2 linked regions of the Drosophila melanogaster genome follow. The protein of the gene in region 1 interacts with the protein of each later gene in a pairwise test. Each region holds a gene or a part of one and is shown in the gene's direction. Other genes may lie near its edges.

The links. Proteins that work in one complex are often made in the same cells at the same time.
Region 2: the proteins of CG11790 (region 1) and CG6733 interact in a two-hybrid assay, tested with the Drosophila melanogaster proteins (one large-scale study listed by BioGRID).

The regions. Positions count from the first base shown.
Region 1 is NT_033777.3:25,045,736-25,049,985, forward strand, and holds CG11790 (uncharacterized protein), read left to right. Parts: upstream 1-1,970; 5' UTR 1,971-2,050; coding exon 2,051-2,183; exon of another isoform or gene 2,184-2,289; coding exon 2,290-2,614; intron 2,615-2,706; coding exon 2,707-2,868; intron 2,869-2,929; coding exon 2,930-3,055; intron 3,056-3,143; coding exon of another isoform or gene 3,144-3,153; exon of another isoform or gene 3,154-3,173; intron 3,174-3,536; coding exon 3,537-3,699; 3' UTR 3,700-3,720; downstream 3,721-4,250. Other genes in the region: CG11786 (uncharacterized protein), read left to right, coding at 638-746, 1,001-1,480, 1,546-1,625.
Region 2 is NT_033777.3:23,095,850-23,099,713, forward strand, and holds CG6733 (uncharacterized protein), read left to right. Parts: upstream 1-1,878; 5' UTR 1,879-1,909; coding exon 1,910-2,000; intron 2,001-2,057; coding exon 2,058-2,549; intron 2,550-2,608; coding exon 2,609-3,026; intron 3,027-3,083; coding exon 3,084-3,288; 3' UTR 3,289-3,342; downstream 3,343-3,864. Other genes in the region: CG17109 (uncharacterized protein), read left to right, coding at 34-522, 583-1,000, 1,060-1,264; CG6738 (uncharacterized protein), read left to right, coding at 3,725-3,815.

The DNA.
Region 1 (4,250 bases):
TCTTTTCATTCAAACAGCTTACAGTAGTTACTGCGTACTGCGTATGACGGTTTCAATCTTTGACAGAATTCCTAAGTATCTTCAAAAGTATTACAACCGCAACACTTGTCCGAAATGTCTTCAATTTGTGTCACTTATGCAAATCCGTAATTCCCACAAAACGGGTTTAACAATTTGTCAAAAATTCGATGTCAAATGCCCAAATGAAACACAAACTGGCAAACACTATATAATATAGGCGGTTTGCTATTTCCAGGCTTTTTGAAAGTTGGGTAGTGAAAGTTGTATTGAACTCTGTGCGTCTCTTTCGAAATCTCCAACACAATCCAAGCGATTGCACGTAGCATGAATACTGAACAGCACGTGAGACGGTAGCCACATTTCTTGCAAGAATACACAAGTGAATTCAATTCCTCCACTCCGGCTCCACGCTGCACATATATGCCCTATAAGTGGGGGCCAAGCCTTACGGGGGAAATGCGATGGCAGTTATAAATACTTGCACACACGTCCGTCCACCTGATATTTTCTTTGCCACAATGTTTTCGGCCCCAAATTTATAAAGAGACGGACGGCAGGCAAACCGTTTATTGTACTTTTAGGAACCGCTTAACTCATATCTCAACGCGATCGCAAAATGCGTACCGAATACCTGGTCGTTCTGATTATATGCACTTCCTGCATTTGCATTAGTGCTGGAGATAGCTATTCCGGGGATATTCAAAGCTCGAACTCATTGGATTTCGGTGTGTGAAAGATAATAGGGATCAAAAGAGATTCTAAAGTGCTGAAAAACCTTATAGTAAAGCAAACTGAAAGTGAAATTAATAATATACACTTACAAATATATGTGTTTCTGTACTATCAATTGGCACTGAGTGCTTAAAACGATAATTCAGTGTACAAACAACTATTCAAATCTTTATGACAGAAGTCATTGGATTAACTTCTTGGATTATCCTTGAATGCTAAACTTATAAGATTCTTTCGCATTTATTAGGCAACGATAGTGGGGGCTACAGCTACAGCTCCCCGCCGAGCAACAGCTACTTGCCTCCAGCCACACCTGCTCCGGAGTACCTGCCTCCGCCGAACAATGGATACCAGTACAATCCGCCGCCGAACAACAACTACCTGCCACCGCCTAACAACAACTATCTGCCTCCTCCTCCTGAATATGGACCGCCAGCTGGCTATCCTTCCTATGGACCACCACCTCCTCCGTTTTACAAGCCAGCTCCGTTCATTCCCTACCATTCGCACGACTCCATTCTGGAAAAGCTTAAGTCCAAGATCAATCTGTATACGCTTGGAAAGATTTTGCTCAAGCTGTTGATATTCAAGAAAATCGTCAAGTTCATCGGCCTGATTTTCTTGCTCTTGGTTCTGCCGAAGCTGAAAAACATTTTCAAGGATGATATGATGTCTGGATCTGGTGAGAGCGATGGCATGGAAAGCAAACTTGTAGAGACAGATAAGGGTAAGGTGTTTCTATATAGTGCTTTAAGCATTAATTATTAATATTTATATTTCTCCCTTTTACAGATAAACTAGCCCAACAAATTGAGAACCTATACGATTTTGTAATAAACTCGATAGAAAGTTTTGAAGGAAGAAGTTCGTAGATCAATACCAAAATTAGTTATAAATGCATTGTTACAAATTGTATTACACTTGATTATTTATTTGTTAAAGTCTTATAAATAAAAGTATTTCGTATTTTACTCTTGTGTTTGAACTTGGGGCATATCATTGATTCAGACTGGTTCTTAAATCAATCCAACATCCTGATGGCTTGATACGCTTAATTAGGTTCTTGAACAGTACTCATTAAGTAGTCGGCCTATCTACCAGAATATTAGCCAAGGTACACATTTGTACCTGCAAACGTACCTAGGTACGAAAGCTGTCACCTTGCGCATCACTGGCGACGATACATTTCGCCGACTATCGATAGACGGGCTCACTCTGCGTCCGCATCCAAGTTGCGATCGGATTCATTCGCATTCGCCAGTGATCAACTCCGCTGCTGCAGATCCACAGCCAAAAAATGCTGCACATAGTATCGGTTGTTATTATAGCCCTGAGTCTGGGCTGTGCCGTTGGCCAGGATTTGCGGCGTGTGGACGACACCGAGTTGATTCAACTCCTGACCGGCAGCAGCAATGTGGTTGTCCTATTCAGTGAGTATTGGTAGGAAAGTCAGCCAGAGAAATCCAGCCTACGTGTCCACTGTGCATATGGAGGATGGTACACCGGTTACTGGCTAACGAGCACACTTAATTGCAGACAAAAACAATTGCCAGCGCTGCGTGGAATATGAGAACATGGTGACCAAGATACGTGCCCAGCTGGAGGAGACCTTGTCGGCCATTGTGGTCCAGTCGGTGGACAGCAACCTGGTATCCATCTATGACCCCAGCAAGGAGCCCGCTTTGGTGTTCTTCAGGCGAGGAATACCCATTCTATACCATGGCGAGATCAACGATGACGAAATCCTAGACTTCTTCAATGACAACTTAGAGCCAGCGGTCAAAGAGCTTTCCGACGACAACTTCGAGCACCTGACTCAAGCCTCGTCGGGTGCCACTACCGGGGACTGGTTTATCTTCTTGTAAGCTATATTAGTCATGCGTTGAGGTCGCCATCTAAGCGTCATGAGATGTACATATATGTGCACATATGCTCACCTACACCCACTTCCAGCTCTTCGGCCGAATGTACCGTCTGTCAGCGACTCTATGCCGTTTGGGAGTCTGTGGGCGGAAAGCTAAAGCGAAAGCTGAATATTGCCCGCATGAACAGTTTGGAGTCTGGAATCTCAACTGCTACGCGACTGGGAGTATTGGAAGCACCGGCTTTTATTTTGTAAGCCCTGATCGCTTTGGTTGTGTCCAAGAATAGATTATATAAATTATAATCATTACAGCTTGAGGCAAGGAAAGATGTACAAATATTCAGCCAAGCAATACAGTCCCGAAGCCTTTGTCCAGTTTGCTGAGAAGGGATATACCCAGAGCCATCCTCAACCAGTGCCCGCAATCCCAAGTGCCGTGTAAGTATTCCTCTCATAGCTAAAATGATTTTAAATTCATCCATCGATCGAATTTTAAACTCAAAGTCCGATTATGACCTTTTTATAGGGATTTGTGAGAAACTGATACATGTGTTTAGTAAGTGAGCCAAGATAAAACTTGTAAACCTATTAATAATTACTATTAGTTAACAAATACTGATTCTTTGTCCCCGGTACAAGGTTGCATATAACGCCAGTTTGAGGGTATTCAACATAGACACTGATTCCACCATCGAGCATAAAACAATTGTTAATATCACTCCGTTGATTAATATCGAACCAAATGTTAATCGTAACCGTTGTATATTATCCAGTTTGTACATAAACAATATTACATTAATCAATTATACCCTGGTTAAAACAGTTCCTGGTTTGAGAAGATCGAATTTAATACTACACAACGTTTATCCTAATAACCAATGATCAAATGAGCTAATGTTTTAACTTTCGTGCTTTTCAGAAACGAATTTTTGGGCCCACTGCAAAGTTATTTTGCAGCTGAAAACATAACATCGCTGGCGACTTTGAGTATTTTCGCCTTAGTTGCTCTCTTATTCGTTGGCAAAAAGGTTGCCAAAATATTCAGTTCAGAGCCTGCGAAAACAAAAAATAAGTCGAAATAAAACTAATATAAAGACTAAATGAAACACGACGTTTTTGAATTAGTCGAGTGACAACAATTAGCGGAAAAGTGGGCGCGAAAATTCAACTGCTGCAATTCCTAACGCCACAAAAACTGGCAGCTCTTTTGGCTGGAACGGTGGAAGCGGAACATGCAAATATGGATACCTAATATCGCAAAAGATCCATTGTTCACTGGCGCACAACGCTGACAATACCTATATCCTATCTCTTGATTGCTTTCAATTAATTAGCGGGCAAGCAAACAAAAATATTTAGATCGGCCCATTTAGCAACTGGGCTCGGAGTTCAGGGGCTAACTCGGCTAGCAATCTAGCCAATTGCTTAAGTGCGATGATAGTTTGGCGTGGAACGCTCAAATTAAAGCAGCGTTTCGTTTCGTAAAGCGTGAGATTCGCGATCGTGTTGTTAGGCAGTTTTTTTTTATTTGTTTCGCAGCGGTCATCGTTGGCGTAAGCGTATTCCTCGGAACCTGGATTTTTTGTATCTTGGGGTAAATCACTCAAAACACGCTATTTATACACCCGCTGAT
Region 2 (3,864 bases), 1.9 Mb from region 1:
AAGAGCACTACTCATGTACATCTTAACTTCTAGCCGAATGTGTGGAGTTCCTGAAAAGGCAGGCTCACAGCCTGGATCTTCCCGTGGATGTTATATATCCAGTGGAGAAGAAGCCTGTGGTGATCATCAAGTGGTTGGGCACCGAACCGGAGCTGCCCTCCGTCATTCTCAACTCGCACATGGATGTGGTGCCGGTGTTCCGTGACAAGTGGACCCACGATCCCTTCGCTGCCGATATCGATGAGGAGGGCAGGATCTTTGCGCGCGGTACTCAGGACATGAAGTCGGTGGGCACAGGATATCTGGGTGCCATCCGCCTGCTTAAGGCAAGTGGTGTCCAGCCCAAGCGCAATTTCTTCGTGACCTTTGTGCCCGATGAGGAGATCGGCGGCGAGCTGGGCATGCAGGAGTTCGTCAAAACGGAATACTACAGCAACATGAATGTTGGTTTCAGTCTGGACGAGGGCGGCACCAGTGAAATAGATCTGTTCTATGTCTTTTATGCCGAACGTATGCGATGGGGTGAGTAATCCTTGAGACACATCTAGGACTAGAATCTAAACTATATCCCCTCTTTGGCAGGTCTCAAGCTGAATTTCAGTGGAACCTCTGGACACGGCTCCATGTTGCTGCCCAGCACTGCCGGCGTGAAACTGAACTATGTGCTCAACAAGCTGACGGAGTTCCGCGAATCGCAGGTTCAGAGGCTGGCCAATGATCAGACAATCAACATCGGTGATGTGACAACTATCAATCTCACCCAGCTGAGCGGTGGAGTCCAGAGCAATGTGGTGCCTCCTCATTTCGAGGCTGTCTTCGACATGCGTCTGTCCATCACCCTGGATGTGGTTGCCTTTGAGAAACAGATCCACGATTGGTGCGAGGAGGCAGGTGGCGGCATCGAGATCTCCTTCGACGAGAAGGAACCCTACGTGGCACCCACAAAGATCGACGACTCCAATCCATTCTGGCTGGCTTTCAAGGCTGCCACCGATGAACTGTAAGTCTGAATCGAATGCTCAACAATGCGTGTTCCTAATACGATTTGTATGTTTATAGTGGCCTTAAGATCTACCCCATTGTCTGCCCCGGTGCCACCGACAGCAGGAACATTCGAGCTCAGGGCATTCCAGCCTTGGGATTCTCACCCATCAAAAATACCACCATGCGCATCCATGATCACGATGAGTTCTTGGGCGCCGAAACTTATTTGAAGGGCATTCAAATATACAAGAAAATTTTGGGCAACCTAGCGAATGTCTAAAAACTAAATCGAAATAATACATGAAAACCTTATCAAAATAAAGATTGATGATTTTGTTATAAGTTAGTACAAAACTTCCTGGCCTTTTATCTTATCTCAACGAATACCTTAATCAACTTAAGATCTGAAGAATACAACTTGCTATCCTTGCGACAGCAAGTAGATAATGGATGTATCTACATTTTGCTGTATCATCATAGATAGCAAGTTGGAAGACTGGGAAGCCCATTAAATCCAAAATAATCACTTGATTTTTTCAAATCGAAGGTCATCAATCAAAGCTTCGTCATTTTAATTGAATTTGTCATAATTTTACGATATGATGGAAAATATTGAAAAATACATGACAACTTACCAAGAACTTGAGGTTTCAAAGGTTGAGGTTGCATAGATAATACGCAATGAACTCATTTCTGTGTAAGTTGCATAGATAATACATAATGAACTATTTGCCGCTTAGAAAAGTTACTTATTCGGATAATAGACGTGTGGGTTTTGCAGATAAGGGCGTTACTATCGCAACCACATACACTTTTGATAAGCATTTAAATTCCTTGACCATAAACATGAAAGCAATCAGTGTGATTATAAAAGCACAGACAATCTTTGTTGCAGCTCAGTTGCTGATGACAGAAGAGTGTCGAAATGAGCTCGGAAAAGTGGGAAAACAATGAGGAAATTAAGATTTTCCGGGAATACTTGCGTATACCAACGGTGCATCCAGATGTTGACTATAGTGAGGACTTAATTTTAATTCTTTAAAGTTTGCGTTATAATGTCTTTCAATGTCTAGCTGCCTGTGTGGAGTTCCTGAAACGTCAGGCTAGCTCCCTAAATCTTCCTGTTGAAGTGGTTTATCCTGCTGTTCAAACGAAGCCCGTTGTGATCATCAAGTGGGAAGGAAGTCAACCCGAACTATCGTCCATTGTTCTCAACTCTCACACGGATGTGGTGCCAGTTTTTCGAGAGAAGTGGACCCATGAACCCTTCTCCGCCGATATTGATGAAGAGGGTAGGATCTTTGCACGGGGTACTCAGGACATGAAATCGGTGGGCACTCAGTATCTAGGAGCGATTCGCCTGCTGAAAGCTAGTGGCTTCAAACCAAAAAGGAATTTGTATGTGACCTTTGTTCCCGACGAAGAGACTGGTGGTCATCTGGGCATGGCGGAGTTTGTTAAGACGGATTACTACAAGAAAATGAACGCGGGATTCAGCCTGGACGAAGGCGCCACTAGTGAAAGTGACGTTCATCATTTGTTCTACGCCGAACGTTTGCGATGGGGTAAGTTCCATAAGGATGATGATGATGGATTGGGGACATTACCGTTTCGCTTTATGCAGGACTCAAGCTGAAAGTCAGTGGAACTTCTGGTCATGGTTCCCTTTTGCTACCCAATACGGCAGGAGTAAAACTGAACTATCTGGTCAACAAACTGACTGAATTCCGCACCTCGCAAGTGGAGAACCTTGCGAGAGATTCCAGCCTCAGCAAGGGCGATGTGACCACCGTGAATCTCACCCAGTTAAGTGGCGGAGTCCAGAGCAATGTGGTTCCGCCACTTTTCGAGGCGGTCTTCGACATACGGATTGCCATTACTGTGAATGTGGTTGCCTTTGAGAAACAGATTCGCGATTGGTGCGAGGAGGCGGGTGGTGGCATTGAAATTGATTTCTTCCAGAAGGAGCCTTATATAGGACCCACCAAGCTGGACAATTCCAATCCCTACTGGCTAGCTGTCAAAGCCGCAATCGATGAGCTGTAAGTACCGACTAAAAATTAACTATAATGGCTAATCGAAATCCTCCTGTGTTTTAGTGGATTGAAGGTTCATCCCATCGTTTGTCCTGGCGCCACTGACAGTCGTTTCATTCGGGAGAAGGGTACCCCAGCCATTGGATTCTCACCCATTATAAACACCACCATGCGGATCCATGACCACGACGAGTTTCTGCAGGCTGATGTGTATCTTAATGGCATTGATGTGTACAAGAAGATTATTCGCAATCTGGCTGAAGTCTAAACAAAATGTTTGAACTACATGGATCGTGGCTATAATAAAGATGGGCTAATTACTAAAGTGTGCCTCGTATCTTCATTTTAGAGAGTAATCTTATCAAAAAAAAAAAAAGATTCAAGAGTTTAATTTGAAATTCCGTGTTTATCTCAATATTGTTTGTTGATTCTTTGACTTTCGCCTCCTTGATCAAGATATAAATGATTCTGATGGGAATTCTGTAGCAGATTGTCAACTATACTGCTTCTTGTCACTACCTCGACTGCCATCCAAAGTGACTTGCAATATAGTCAGAATTGGAAGAGATCTGCCGCCCATTGATAACGATTTTCTTATCATATACGCATAATCACTTTTGTGGCACGATCCAAATGCATATAAAGACAGCGGATGCCTTTAGCTGCTTATTTCTACTTTACCATCCTAACGATTCATATTAAAAATGAGTGCCGAAAAATGGGAAAAGAACGAGGAAATTCGAATATTCCGGGAGTATTTGCGAATTCCATCTGTACACCCTAATATTGATTATAGTAAGGTCCTTATTTTAATATTTCCTTAAATGCATTAGCACTATTCATT